3 linked regions of the Oryzias latipes genome follow. The protein of the gene in region 1 binds, or shares a complex with, the protein of each later gene. Links are inferred from orthologs where the notes say so. Each region holds a gene or a part of one and is shown in the gene's direction. Other genes may lie near its edges.

What was found.
Region 2: the proteins of nrip1 (region 1) and estrogen-related receptor gamma type 1 are in contact, whole or in part, in a crystal structure (PDB 2GPP), measured with the Homo sapiens proteins. The link is inferred for Oryzias latipes from reciprocal best matches to the Homo sapiens genes NRIP1 and ESRRG. Residues at the interface, in NP_001426204.1 of Homo sapiens: Ser378, Leu379, Leu380, Leu381, Leu383, Leu384, Lys385, Ser386, Gln387; in NP_001429.2 of Homo sapiens: Val277, Ile280, Lys284, Phe289, Leu294, Gln297, Met298, Leu301, Gln302, Lys448, Leu449, Glu452, Met453.
Region 3: the proteins of nrip1 (region 1) and rora are in contact, whole or in part, in a crystal structure (PDB 4S15), measured with the Homo sapiens proteins. The link is inferred for Oryzias latipes from reciprocal best matches to the Homo sapiens genes NRIP1 and RORA. Residues at the interface, in NP_001426204.1 of Homo sapiens: Thr499, Leu500, Leu501, Gln502, Leu504, Leu505, His507; in NP_599023.1 of Homo sapiens: Gln332, Val335, Lys339, Phe344, Met345, Gln349, Gln352, Ile353, Leu356, Pro505, Leu506, Glu509, Leu510.

The regions. Positions count from the first base shown.
Region 1 is NC_019872.2:2,660,551-2,663,604, forward strand, and holds the end of nrip1 (nuclear receptor-interacting protein 1), read left to right. Parts: coding exon 1-360; 3' UTR 361-2,484; downstream 2,485-3,054. UniProt on the Homo sapiens protein: Modulates transcriptional activation by steroid receptors such as NR3C1, NR3C2 and ESR1. Also modulates transcriptional repression by nuclear hormone receptors.
Region 2 is NC_019861.2:25,281,670-25,285,324, reverse strand, and holds part of estrogen-related receptor gamma type 1, read left to right. Parts: intron 1-1,554; coding exon 1,555-1,671; coding exon of another isoform or gene 1,672-1,683; intron 1,684-3,655. UniProt on the Homo sapiens protein: Orphan receptor that acts as a transcription activator in the absence of bound ligand. Binds specifically to an estrogen response element and activates reporter genes controlled by estrogen response elements.
Region 3 is NC_019864.2:17,182,153-17,185,807, reverse strand, and holds part of rora (nuclear receptor ROR-alpha), read left to right. Parts: intron 1-393; coding exon 394-504; intron 505-653; coding exon 654-766; intron 767-1,765; coding exon 1,766-1,930; 3' UTR 1,931-3,655. UniProt on the Homo sapiens protein: Nuclear receptor that binds DNA as a monomer to ROR response elements (RORE) containing a single core motif half-site 5'-AGGTCA-3' preceded by a short A-T-rich sequence.

The DNA.
Region 1 (3,054 bases):
GCAGCTCAAAAGCGGGACGCCCCAACTCTAGTGAAACAGGAACCGGAGAGCCCTGTTCGGTGGAATAGTCAGGAGAACGAAGAGCAGGAGGAGGACTGTTGTGACTCAAACCCAGACTCTCCACGGCTCTCGCGTTCCAACCCCATCCTGTATTACATGCTACAAAGGGGCAGCATTCAGCTGAGGAAGGAAGCAAGGGATCAAGCAGAGGAAGCACCATCTGTGGTCCGAGTCAAAGAAGAGCCGATCAGTGACATGCATGCCTACGAACACAGTCTGAGCTCGGCTCCACAGTCTCCAGCCCACAAAGAAGAGAAGCACAGCCATGAGAGCCCGGGGTTGAGTCAGTCCTCCCAGTAGGTGTTCTCTGCTGCAGATGTTGATTCTAGTTCATTAACCCTTTTCTTTCCCCATCATTTTGAATGAATTTTGCCAAACTGGTTTGATAAGAACATGCGAGTGATTTTCTTTTTGTTCTGAAAATTGAAAGTTATAAAAAGAAAAGCTGTTTGTGTTGCTTTTTTCAAGATGGTGAGGTTTTTTGAATGGTACAGTAGTGGTCTGTATTAGCAAAGTGCTAAACCTATGTAACCAAAATTACAGTCTGATTGTTTTCCCCCCACTATTTTGGTCTTCATTTGTTCCTTGAAGTATCCCATAATCCTTTTTTTCCACTTTACCTGAACTGAGCTCATAGCAAGCTATTGTCATTTTTTTTTGCCTCTCTTCATTTGCAAATAACATTTCAAGCAATGTTTATCATTGATTCCAAAAAACCCGCTCAATTTAGAGTTTATTTATTTTCTCTGTTGCAACTTATTCAGATGGTCCCGTAAATTTCCAAAAGGATTGTTAATAAAGCTGTCGCCTGGAGGGCACAGGGGTCTCCTACAACAGTGATGCGTTTGAAGGGGGATTCTGGTGGTGAAATGAGAGCTGTGGGATCTTCAGAGAGGAGTCTGCTGGCTCTGTCAGGACGTGCTATGATCACAGCGGTAAAAGAGTAACTCACCGCAGGTGGGTCAGCGTGTTTTGGTTCCATTAGAGTTGCACCCTTTGGGCCAACATTCGACGGTGCAGATTGGAGGCAGCGTGTTTGCAGACTGCGCCTCTCTGAGCAGATGGGTCATCAGAGTTTGTGCAGTTGAACAACTGCATACAAACAGGTTTCTAGAGCAACAGCTAAAGGTTGCACTGGTTCACCAACTTATCTTACCATCCTGGAAAAACCCACACTACTTTTTTTCATGCACACATGTAAGAGTGTGAAGCACACAGGCCTCCCCTCTGGTGTTGACGGTGAAAGAGACTGCCTGAAGTTTGCACTTTTGAAGCTGAGTCCTCGCTGTCCTCTGACAGGGATTTATAGACATGTAATGAAACTGTGTCAGTATTGTTATCTGTTGAGAATTTGACAGTTTGTGATTTTTTTTTTCACATTATCTCTTAATTGCTGTGGTTTATGGGCATCTTTTTTTCTTCCTGTGGCAATATCTTGTTCATTAAATGTCAAAAGAATCGCATGATAATAAAGAGAAGTCCACATGTACTTCTTTGTTTTTAAAGCTGGACCCCCCCCCCCCCCCCCCCCCCCCCCCCAGCCCAGAGTACAGCTCTTCCTGACAGATTACTGTCTGGAAGGATTGTCTGTTTCTAGCTCTTCAGTTTACATCGTACTGTATTCCTCTCAGTTGATTTCACTGCTTTCTCCATTCAGTCTTGTGATCTTTTTAATACATATAGCTGTCTCTTCTATGATTAATACATTTTCACGATGGTTAAATATATTTGTGTAAATAGTACTTTCATTATGAAAGATGACTATTTTGTAATGTTTAAAAAAAAAGATATTACCCTAGTTTTTAATGCCCTGATGTGTAAATATGAATTATATGCGTACATGTGTACATACAAAGGCAGAGGATGATGTGCCCATGTTCTTTTGGTTGGTTTGTTCTTTGCATGTGTCTCTGTGTGGTAAACGATAATCTATCCTGCGCTGTGTTGTGTAATAATGTCCCACTCTCCTCACTGCTGCCTGTTGCATGCAGACGCATGGGAACTACCTGTGTATCCCTACTGGTGACGGGGGAAATGTCAAGTCTTAAAATAGGTCCTTTTTCTTCATCTCAGAGTGAGCGAGAGGTTTGCTTTGAAGATGAGCGGTCCCCGGGTAACCACAGACTCTTGAGCAAGTTGATGAAAATTAAACGTGCATTGAATATTTTGGTGATTTTCCTTTCTGTTACTGGTTAACAAAGCTCTGGGAACGAGCATGGGGCTGTAGTGAGGGACTGACGTACAATCATAGATCTGCATTGTGCATCTCAGAATTGCATTTGTAGCAGCAAATATATAAATATAATAAAAAAAATGTTTCTTTTTTTCATGTGAAAAGCTGAAGCATTATTTTGTTTTTTATGTTTTCTTTTTTTGGTGTTCATTTGCACTGATATCGCAGAAATAAAGTTCTAAAATGCATGACTTAGTATGAATGTGTCCATTTTTTTTCAGTTTGTTTGATTGTAAAGAACCATTGATTGATCATAATAATGTTTTATACTGACATTTTGATCTGAAAGTGCTCTAAATGTATTTCTCTGCAGCTGAAATGGTTACTTGATGGCTTCCTGAAGTGGAAACAAACACTGAAACGGGGAACGCAGGGTTTTAAGGAGATGATTTTTCTCCCACAACAATAATAATCCCAATACAGGAAGTCTGAGAAAACCTGCTGATAATGAAGTCAATGTGTGAGAAAAGAGTTGGCTGGTGGGGGACATGAGGGGAGAACGGTTCTTTTCTTCTAGAATACTCCTGGTTACATTTATTTTTAACGTCTGGACCATTGACTGTATGAGAAAACTTGACTGAGTGACCCCCCCGGCGCTCCAAGCAGGAAGTACCTGTTGGCTCCAAGAAACCAAAATCCAATAGATTTCTACTGAGAAATAAACAGCTGTTACTCTGTCATTCTATTGGTCACCTTTTTTAATGCATTTTGGTCATCCAAAAATGTTCCCCCCTTTTTTTTTTTTTTAGGTGGTTATTCAA
Region 2 (3,655 bases), on another chromosome or scaffold:
CTACAAGAAATGAGGAAAAAAAAGAAGCTTGAAGTGGGAGAGGTGGACTGGGCACATGAATCTAGAAAGGAATTAGAGGCAGGTGTGTGTTAGAGTGTTTTTGCGTGTGTGTGTCACAAAGTGGAGGAAGTGGGTCTGGCAGCTGCTGTTTCTGTGGCGTCAGTCCAACGACACCTGACAACTTGCATCCATCACTCCCTTATTGAGAAGGAGGGATAAAGGGGAAAGTGGAGGAGGCCAAAATATGGCACAGAGGTGTAGGGCAGTGAAACAAAAAAAACTTTTTCTTCTTCTATGATGGTGCAATAAAAAAAGATAAAAATGAAAGAAAATGCAGAAAAAAAGGATGTCTGTACAGTAGTGGTTATCTGCAATGCAGCAGGCAAACATACATTAATATATGATACAGGGAGGGATTAATTTCAATTTAAAGATTTGGCTTCTTGATTCCTTTTCTATCCATACGTTTGTATTTGTGCTGTTTCTGAGCATTTAGAGTGATGATTGTCTGCATATAACACTGTGCAGCAGGCCGTAATTCAAATTAACCCAACAAGGTATTCACACAAGTTGCACTTGAGTTAAGAGTACCATTAACTGCTATTTAGCCAACATTTTCAATATTAATACAATGAACAAATACAATTGATGTTTTACTGTTTCACAGACCAGCTTATCAATCTGGTCATAGATGCTTTTTCTGCAGAGTCTTCGAAGCACCAGCTCTCGCAGTGGCTCTTCACTGCCTTTAAATTGGGCTTTTTAGCTCCTTTTAAATAACACGGCTTTTTACTGATTGCCCATTAAGCCTTGTGAATTCTGTCATTAGCACATTTAGGCTGAGTGTTAAAGAAAGTGCCTCTCCTATCTGCAGGATTAATCTACTCCTCCTGTACCATCGGCTTGTAAAGGCTAGTTGTGAGATAACTAGTCTCATTAGTAGCATCCATTAGAATGTTTTGTTCCTGCAGTATTTAGAAGGTTTAGCCTTTACTTTAACCAACAAGGGCAATTGATGTGTGTCTTGTTACCCATTAAGAAGTGTTGGAGCATTTAGCCTTTTTTCCCAAGCTAACTAGCTCTTTAATCAGTCCAGTAATGAGAAAACATCCTCTCCACAGCAGCAGTCAATAGCAATCACTGTTTACTCGGTTTCACTGGGAGATGTATTGGCTTGTTGGGTCTCTGCTGTCAGGTTGGCATGGGTATAAGAAACTATATTGGTATCAAAATATATCACGATATAAAATTAGTTCTAAAAAAAAGCAAAAAATAGTGTATTTCTGTTGGGTGCAAAATATCCATGTCTAATTATCATCAAGGGGCAAAAGAGGGGGAAAGCAGGGGTCTTTGTAGTAAATGGTGAAAGGGTTTGATTTAAACGCTAATATTAAAAGAAAAAATAATACACAAACACCTAGCAATTATAAGTATTAAAACAAACTTTTTATTTTTCCCAATAATCCATGCTCTGTGTTTGTATTGTGTCTGTTGAGGACTTTATCGGAAGTTAAACCTGTCTTTGGCTTCTTCCCGCATATCTATGTACTGCAGGCAACATCGAGTACAGCTGTCCAGCCACCAACGAGTGTGAGATAACCAAGAGGAGACGCAAGTCATGCCAGGCTTGCCGCTTCATGAAGTGTCTGACCGTTGGCATGCTGAGGGAGGGTAAGGGAAAAGGTCTCTTCCTTACATTTCTCTGATAACTGTGATACATGTAGCATTGTAAAGGCTAGCGCTTAAACCCAATCTGACAGCAAACAAGCCCAGGTTCTTCTCGTCCTGCTTTCTTGCAGTACGGTTTTCTTTAAAGTAAATCAAAATATGAGATATGATAGCGGTTCAGGGTGCACTCTCTGTAGTATACACCACTGCCAGTCTCAGAACGTTAGCACCCTTGATTTGAAGTGCAAACCTGCTAATTTGGAAAACAGATATTAAGACCAAATGTCCTAATAACAGGAAATTCTTTAAAAGTTTGTCCTTACTTTAATGCAAACATTAAAAGATGAGGTCATGTAAATGTGTTATAACATACAAACTGACCTAACATTTTTCAATGTGATTTATTTTGGGCTATTGCAGTGTTAAAAGGGGCTGACTGCAACAAACGTGTGTGAAACAAGGCTACATGTAACATACTTAAGAAATAAGTAAGAGTTTCTCCACTGGGCACATCTATGTGTTACATTCCTGCTCATGTTCACATTTATACTCTGGATGTATATAAAATGGAGTTTCTTCATATAACAACACTTTCGTTATCATCATGTTTTACCCCAAACAGATAAGTTAAATGCATGTGAATAAAAAAAAGATCAGAGGAAGGCGCAATAACAGGCACATAGCTGTAAACAAAAGCTGTTTCTAACATGAGAAGAAGTTGTGCTCTCCCTCCAACCACTTTGAATAAATTTACTCTCATTTTACAGTCCCTCGTTGCTTCTTACTTCTTTGTCCCTCCCGCCTGACCTTTCTGCTCCTCCTGCACTTCCAGCAACGAAAGGAAGTAAAGGAGTGCCAAGGGATGAAGAGGAGGGTTGGTAGCAGCAAGACTAGAGGGGGAAGGTGGGAGCAGGCTTGGCGAAAGGAGGGAAGAAGTGGGGGGGAAAAAGAGATTGATTTATAGGAGCAGAGGAGAGGGGCCAGGGGAGGATAAGAGGCAGGGGAGGGGTGGGGGGGTGAATGAAGCAGAAAGTGTGTGAGAGGAGAGAAGAGGAGGGTCAAGGTTGTAATTGATGGGAGACCTGGCCTACGCCCCTTTCCTTACAGTGGTCAAGGAGTGTGTCTGCGCCGACGCCTGCCAACCCTGCCTCCATCCATTCCTGTCTTTCCCTCCCTGCGTTTCTCCCACTCAGTGTTATTATAGGCTTTGTGATGCTCCTTTTATGCTTGCTTTTCATTCATTGTCCTCGTCATTCACAGCTTTCTGCATCCTCTCAACCAAAAGAAATGCGCATGCCTGTTGCTTTCTGTCAACTCAGACATAAACACCTAAATCAAGAATGAAAAGATGTCTTTGTTTTTAAGTTTTTAAATGTTAAAACAGAGCTTTAAAGTAATCTAGAAATCTAAAGAATAAACACAGACTTTAGTTTAGGATCAGACTTTTGTGGCTTTTACTGAGCACAAGTTTGACTTGACTGTGAAAAGCACGAGCTTTCTCCAGCTCTTGTCTTTTCCGCACACTCAGAAACAACACACATCCTAACAAGCTGCTGCGGTAGCATTTGTGCTCCCAGCTGATCTGACATAGACAGAAACCACGTCTCTTCTCTCCTGTTTTGTCATGTGTATGTGATCACAAACACACATGTAGCAGCGAGTAACCACAACTAAAGACCTTAATACGCTAAACTGAAGGATCAGAAGAGTTAGAAAAAAGTTACACAAATAAATTTAAAAGGAAGCGTGTATAAATAGCCAGTAAAGCAGTTTTAGCCATCATATTCCACATTAAAAGCTGTGAACTAGGATGACCATGAAAATCTTTTCAAACAATCAGAAACACAATATTCAACAACAAAATATACAATAAAGAAATTTCTTTTGTGTGGAGATGGAACTGAGTTACATGAGTTTGTGTGCTCATGTTCTGACTTGGCAAACAAATAGCTGTCTTTTGTTGCCTCTGCTTCCCACATCTGCACAC
Region 3 (3,655 bases), on another chromosome or scaffold:
AGTGTCCTGTGAGGGGTGTGCAAGGAGTCCGTGGCGAAGGGAGGGGGAGGGGTGGGTGATGACGGGCTTTCTGAGTCGCGGTGGCACCCGCCTGTCTCTCTCTTTCTGTCTCCCGTAATTGATTTAACTAAAAGCCTCAATAGTGACCTCATTTTGGCTTGCGTAACACCACCGAACTGCCAAAAGTGACTCGTCTGGGAGGCAAAACTCAGTAAAAGCATTGCCTCTTCTGCTTAAGACGCTCCCATGTGCTGTCAGCATGCCGCTCTTTTTCATCTCTTCCCCTTCGTCTCCCCTCCCTGTGCGCCTCTCTCCCAATAAAGATCAAGAGTGAGTGTTTTTCTTTGCTCTTGCTCATCCGACGCCCCTTCTCTCTGTCCTTTGCTGTGGCAGGCTGTGACGACTTGATCAGCTCCGTCTTCGAGTTTGGGAAAAACTTGTGTTCTATGCACCTGTCTGAGGATGAGATCGCCCTGTTCTCTGCCTTTGTGTTGATGTCTGCTGGTAGGTGTCAGTCACACACACATACACTCCATACAACAATTCCATACTGCTGCCCTTCATGCATATCCCAACTAAAACCTCATACCACTGGTTCGGAAATTAGTGTCAGTTTCATTGGAATGATAGTTGTGACGATGTCCCCCCTCCAGACCGGTCCTGGCTCCAGGAAAAAGTGAAGGTGGAAAAACTCCAGCAGAAGATTCAGCTGGCCCTCCAGCATGTTTTGCAGAAGAACCACAGAGAGGATGGTATACTTACAAAGGTGAAATGCATTCAACACTTATGTATTATCCCTGAAACTGCATGTCTGCTAAGTTGAAGTAACTCTCACAGTGACACTGTTTTGGATCTTCATCTAAAAGCCAAAAAACACCTTCACTGCAAAAACTGAAATTTAAAGACCCACTCCAATGAAAATTGTCTTTCTGGTGTTTTTTACCTGTTCTTGTGGCATTTTTCTGATGATGGAAAACATATATAAAGAAAATTAAGCTTAAAATTGGATTTCTGAATATGTCTATATTCAAATAGTTGTGAATTAGGAGCAGATGTAAGTGTGCCGTTGTAAAAAGCTTGTAGGTGTGACGTAGTACCTACAACCGCAGTCCACAAGCTCCCAGCTCCACCCCATTCTGATGCATCCACTTGCAGATGACTAGATCCACAAACGTCTTGATTTTGTTTCCTAAACTGAGCTGTCATCCAGCTCAAAACTGCACGGCTGGATAGCTCCACTACTGCTCGTCAGTTTTCTTGCACTAGTAATATTTGGTTGGGATCGTAAGGGGCTGTAACCTAGGAGGAGCATATGTAAACAAAGGGATGATGGGAAATGACTACCGGTACTGGCGCTCTGCAGAAACTATGTCCTAGAAAACAAGTTTTTTTTGGCTAGAAAAAGCATAATCATAATTAATAGACCACTAATAACTATTTTACAATAGCTCAAAAGGTGATCAGAGTGGGACTTTGAGAAACTAAAAAGTTGTTTCAGGAAAATTGGCCTACTCTTATCAAGAAAGCGGGACTTTCACAAAGTCACAGGAAAAATGGCAATTTATCAATTGCATCGGCTCTTTAATAAAAAAAATAAAAAGCGTCAGATTTTCCTTGTGCCTCAGCAGTTGTCTCAATATTTACAAGTCTGTTTTACCCCTGTGTGGGACAAAAAACACTGTAGGGAGGACTGTTTTTCACTGCCATTGCTCCATGTCCTCGCCTCCCCGAGAATCTAAACAACCTGTCTCCTCTCTCTCCACAGTTGATATGCAAAGTGTCGACACTGCGAGCGCTGTGCAGTAGGCATACAGAGAAGCTCACAGCTTTCAAAGCAATATACCCAGACATTGTGCGTGCCCACTTCCCCCCCTTATACAAGGAGCTGTTTGGATCAGACTTTGAGCAGTCCATGCCCGTTGACGGGTAGCAGCCCTGCCGGGTGCCAGCGTGCCCATCGTAGGGGAATGTGGCGGAGGAATCTGAGACACTTTACTGGTGCCCTGCACAAACCGGAGTGGACACATGGCACGCTGTTCAACTTGTTCTTTTACATCTGAAGAGGCATGGGGGGTGCGTTGGGGGGTTGATTGTCAAGGTTTACTTTATTAAATTAAGTTGTCTTTGGAATGGCATGCAGGACCCGACACCCCACGGGACACGATAAGGAGATAGGAAGATCTGTTCGGCTGAACTTGACTCTCTTCTGCGCTTTTTAAATCTCACACTTCATTTAGTCTGAAAATTCACCGCCAGAGAAGTGACCTGCGCACATGTAGAGTTAAGAGGATCTTTTTAGACCACATCAGTATTCTTCTCCAGGTTGCACTCCGCTCGCCGCTTTAGGGTTTTCACCATCAGAATCACGTTCTCGTACAGATAAATAACTGACAAAGGCGCACATTTCGGTCAAGTTCAGCCACTCCTGTCTTTGTGTTCTGTCGCATCTTTTTTGGATGCAGTGCTTGGAACGAAAACCCACAGCGACTTTCAGGGAGGTTTCCTCTGGCATGGTGACGCAATCGGGGCCTCTCTACGGACAATCGTTTAAAAAGAAGTAAAAGAGAAAAGAAATCTAGAATTCTGGTAATTCTAATGAAAACACAAGAATTTTAGTTGTCAAGGATTTCATCCACCATTGTTGCATAGTGAAATCATGTAAGGCCATCTGCTATTAATCTCTCTTTGGACAGGTGCCCCCTGAGAAGCACCAACACAACAAAAAGGGTCCATTCCACCTGTTTTATAATGTACTACAGGGTATATGGTCATAAGTACTTACTATACAGAAAAAAAATGTTTATAGAATCTATTTTAAATAACATGTATGATATTAGTAGTTAGACCATTCTTAATTGTTGAATTGATAAGGCACTTTTATTTACACCTTTCTTTAATTTAAGACTTGTATATTTACCTAGTGATGTGTTGCATGTGCACAAGAAATACAAGTTGAAACACGGTCACAGGGGTTAGTCCCGGGAGCTGCAGATGATTAGGATCTGGAAGTGTTCGGGAATTCTGTTAGGACGGCTGGGTGGTGATCAAAGAGGCACGGATGAGAAGGCAAGCTTAAGACACTCGCTAGTTTCTTTTTGTTTGGTTTCCTTGGATCTTTTTTGTTGAAAACACTGTGCTAACTTCCAAAAAACATAAATATGATTCTCCCTCTGATGATAAAATAATACTATACCTTTAATTAGTGTAAAGTAAAAAAAAAAATTACCTAAATTTGACAAAAAACATTTTTTATCGTAGCCTATATGTTTGATGCATATTGACTTTTGCTGTATTTAATTTATAAATTGTTCCCTTTTGCTCAAATTTGGGGAAATCGTTTTTAAATGATCAAACTATTAAATTACAACAAAAATCTATGCGGTCAGACTGAAATAATAAAAAATAAAAACACTCACTATGATCCAACTCTGCCCCCTAGTGGAGGACAGACGTTCTTTTATTTCAAGCACATTTGATTGTTTTTGTTTCTTTCTTCCTTTGTTTTCTAAGAGTGACTTTCAGCTTTCTCGCCCAGCCGTGCCTTTAACAGGACACAGACGAAACAGCGAAGGGAGAGTGAATATTCAAAGCCTTGTCTGGTTGTAAAAGCTTCTATTTTTGTAACTTGTTTTGGTTAACAAACTCATGAAAGAGA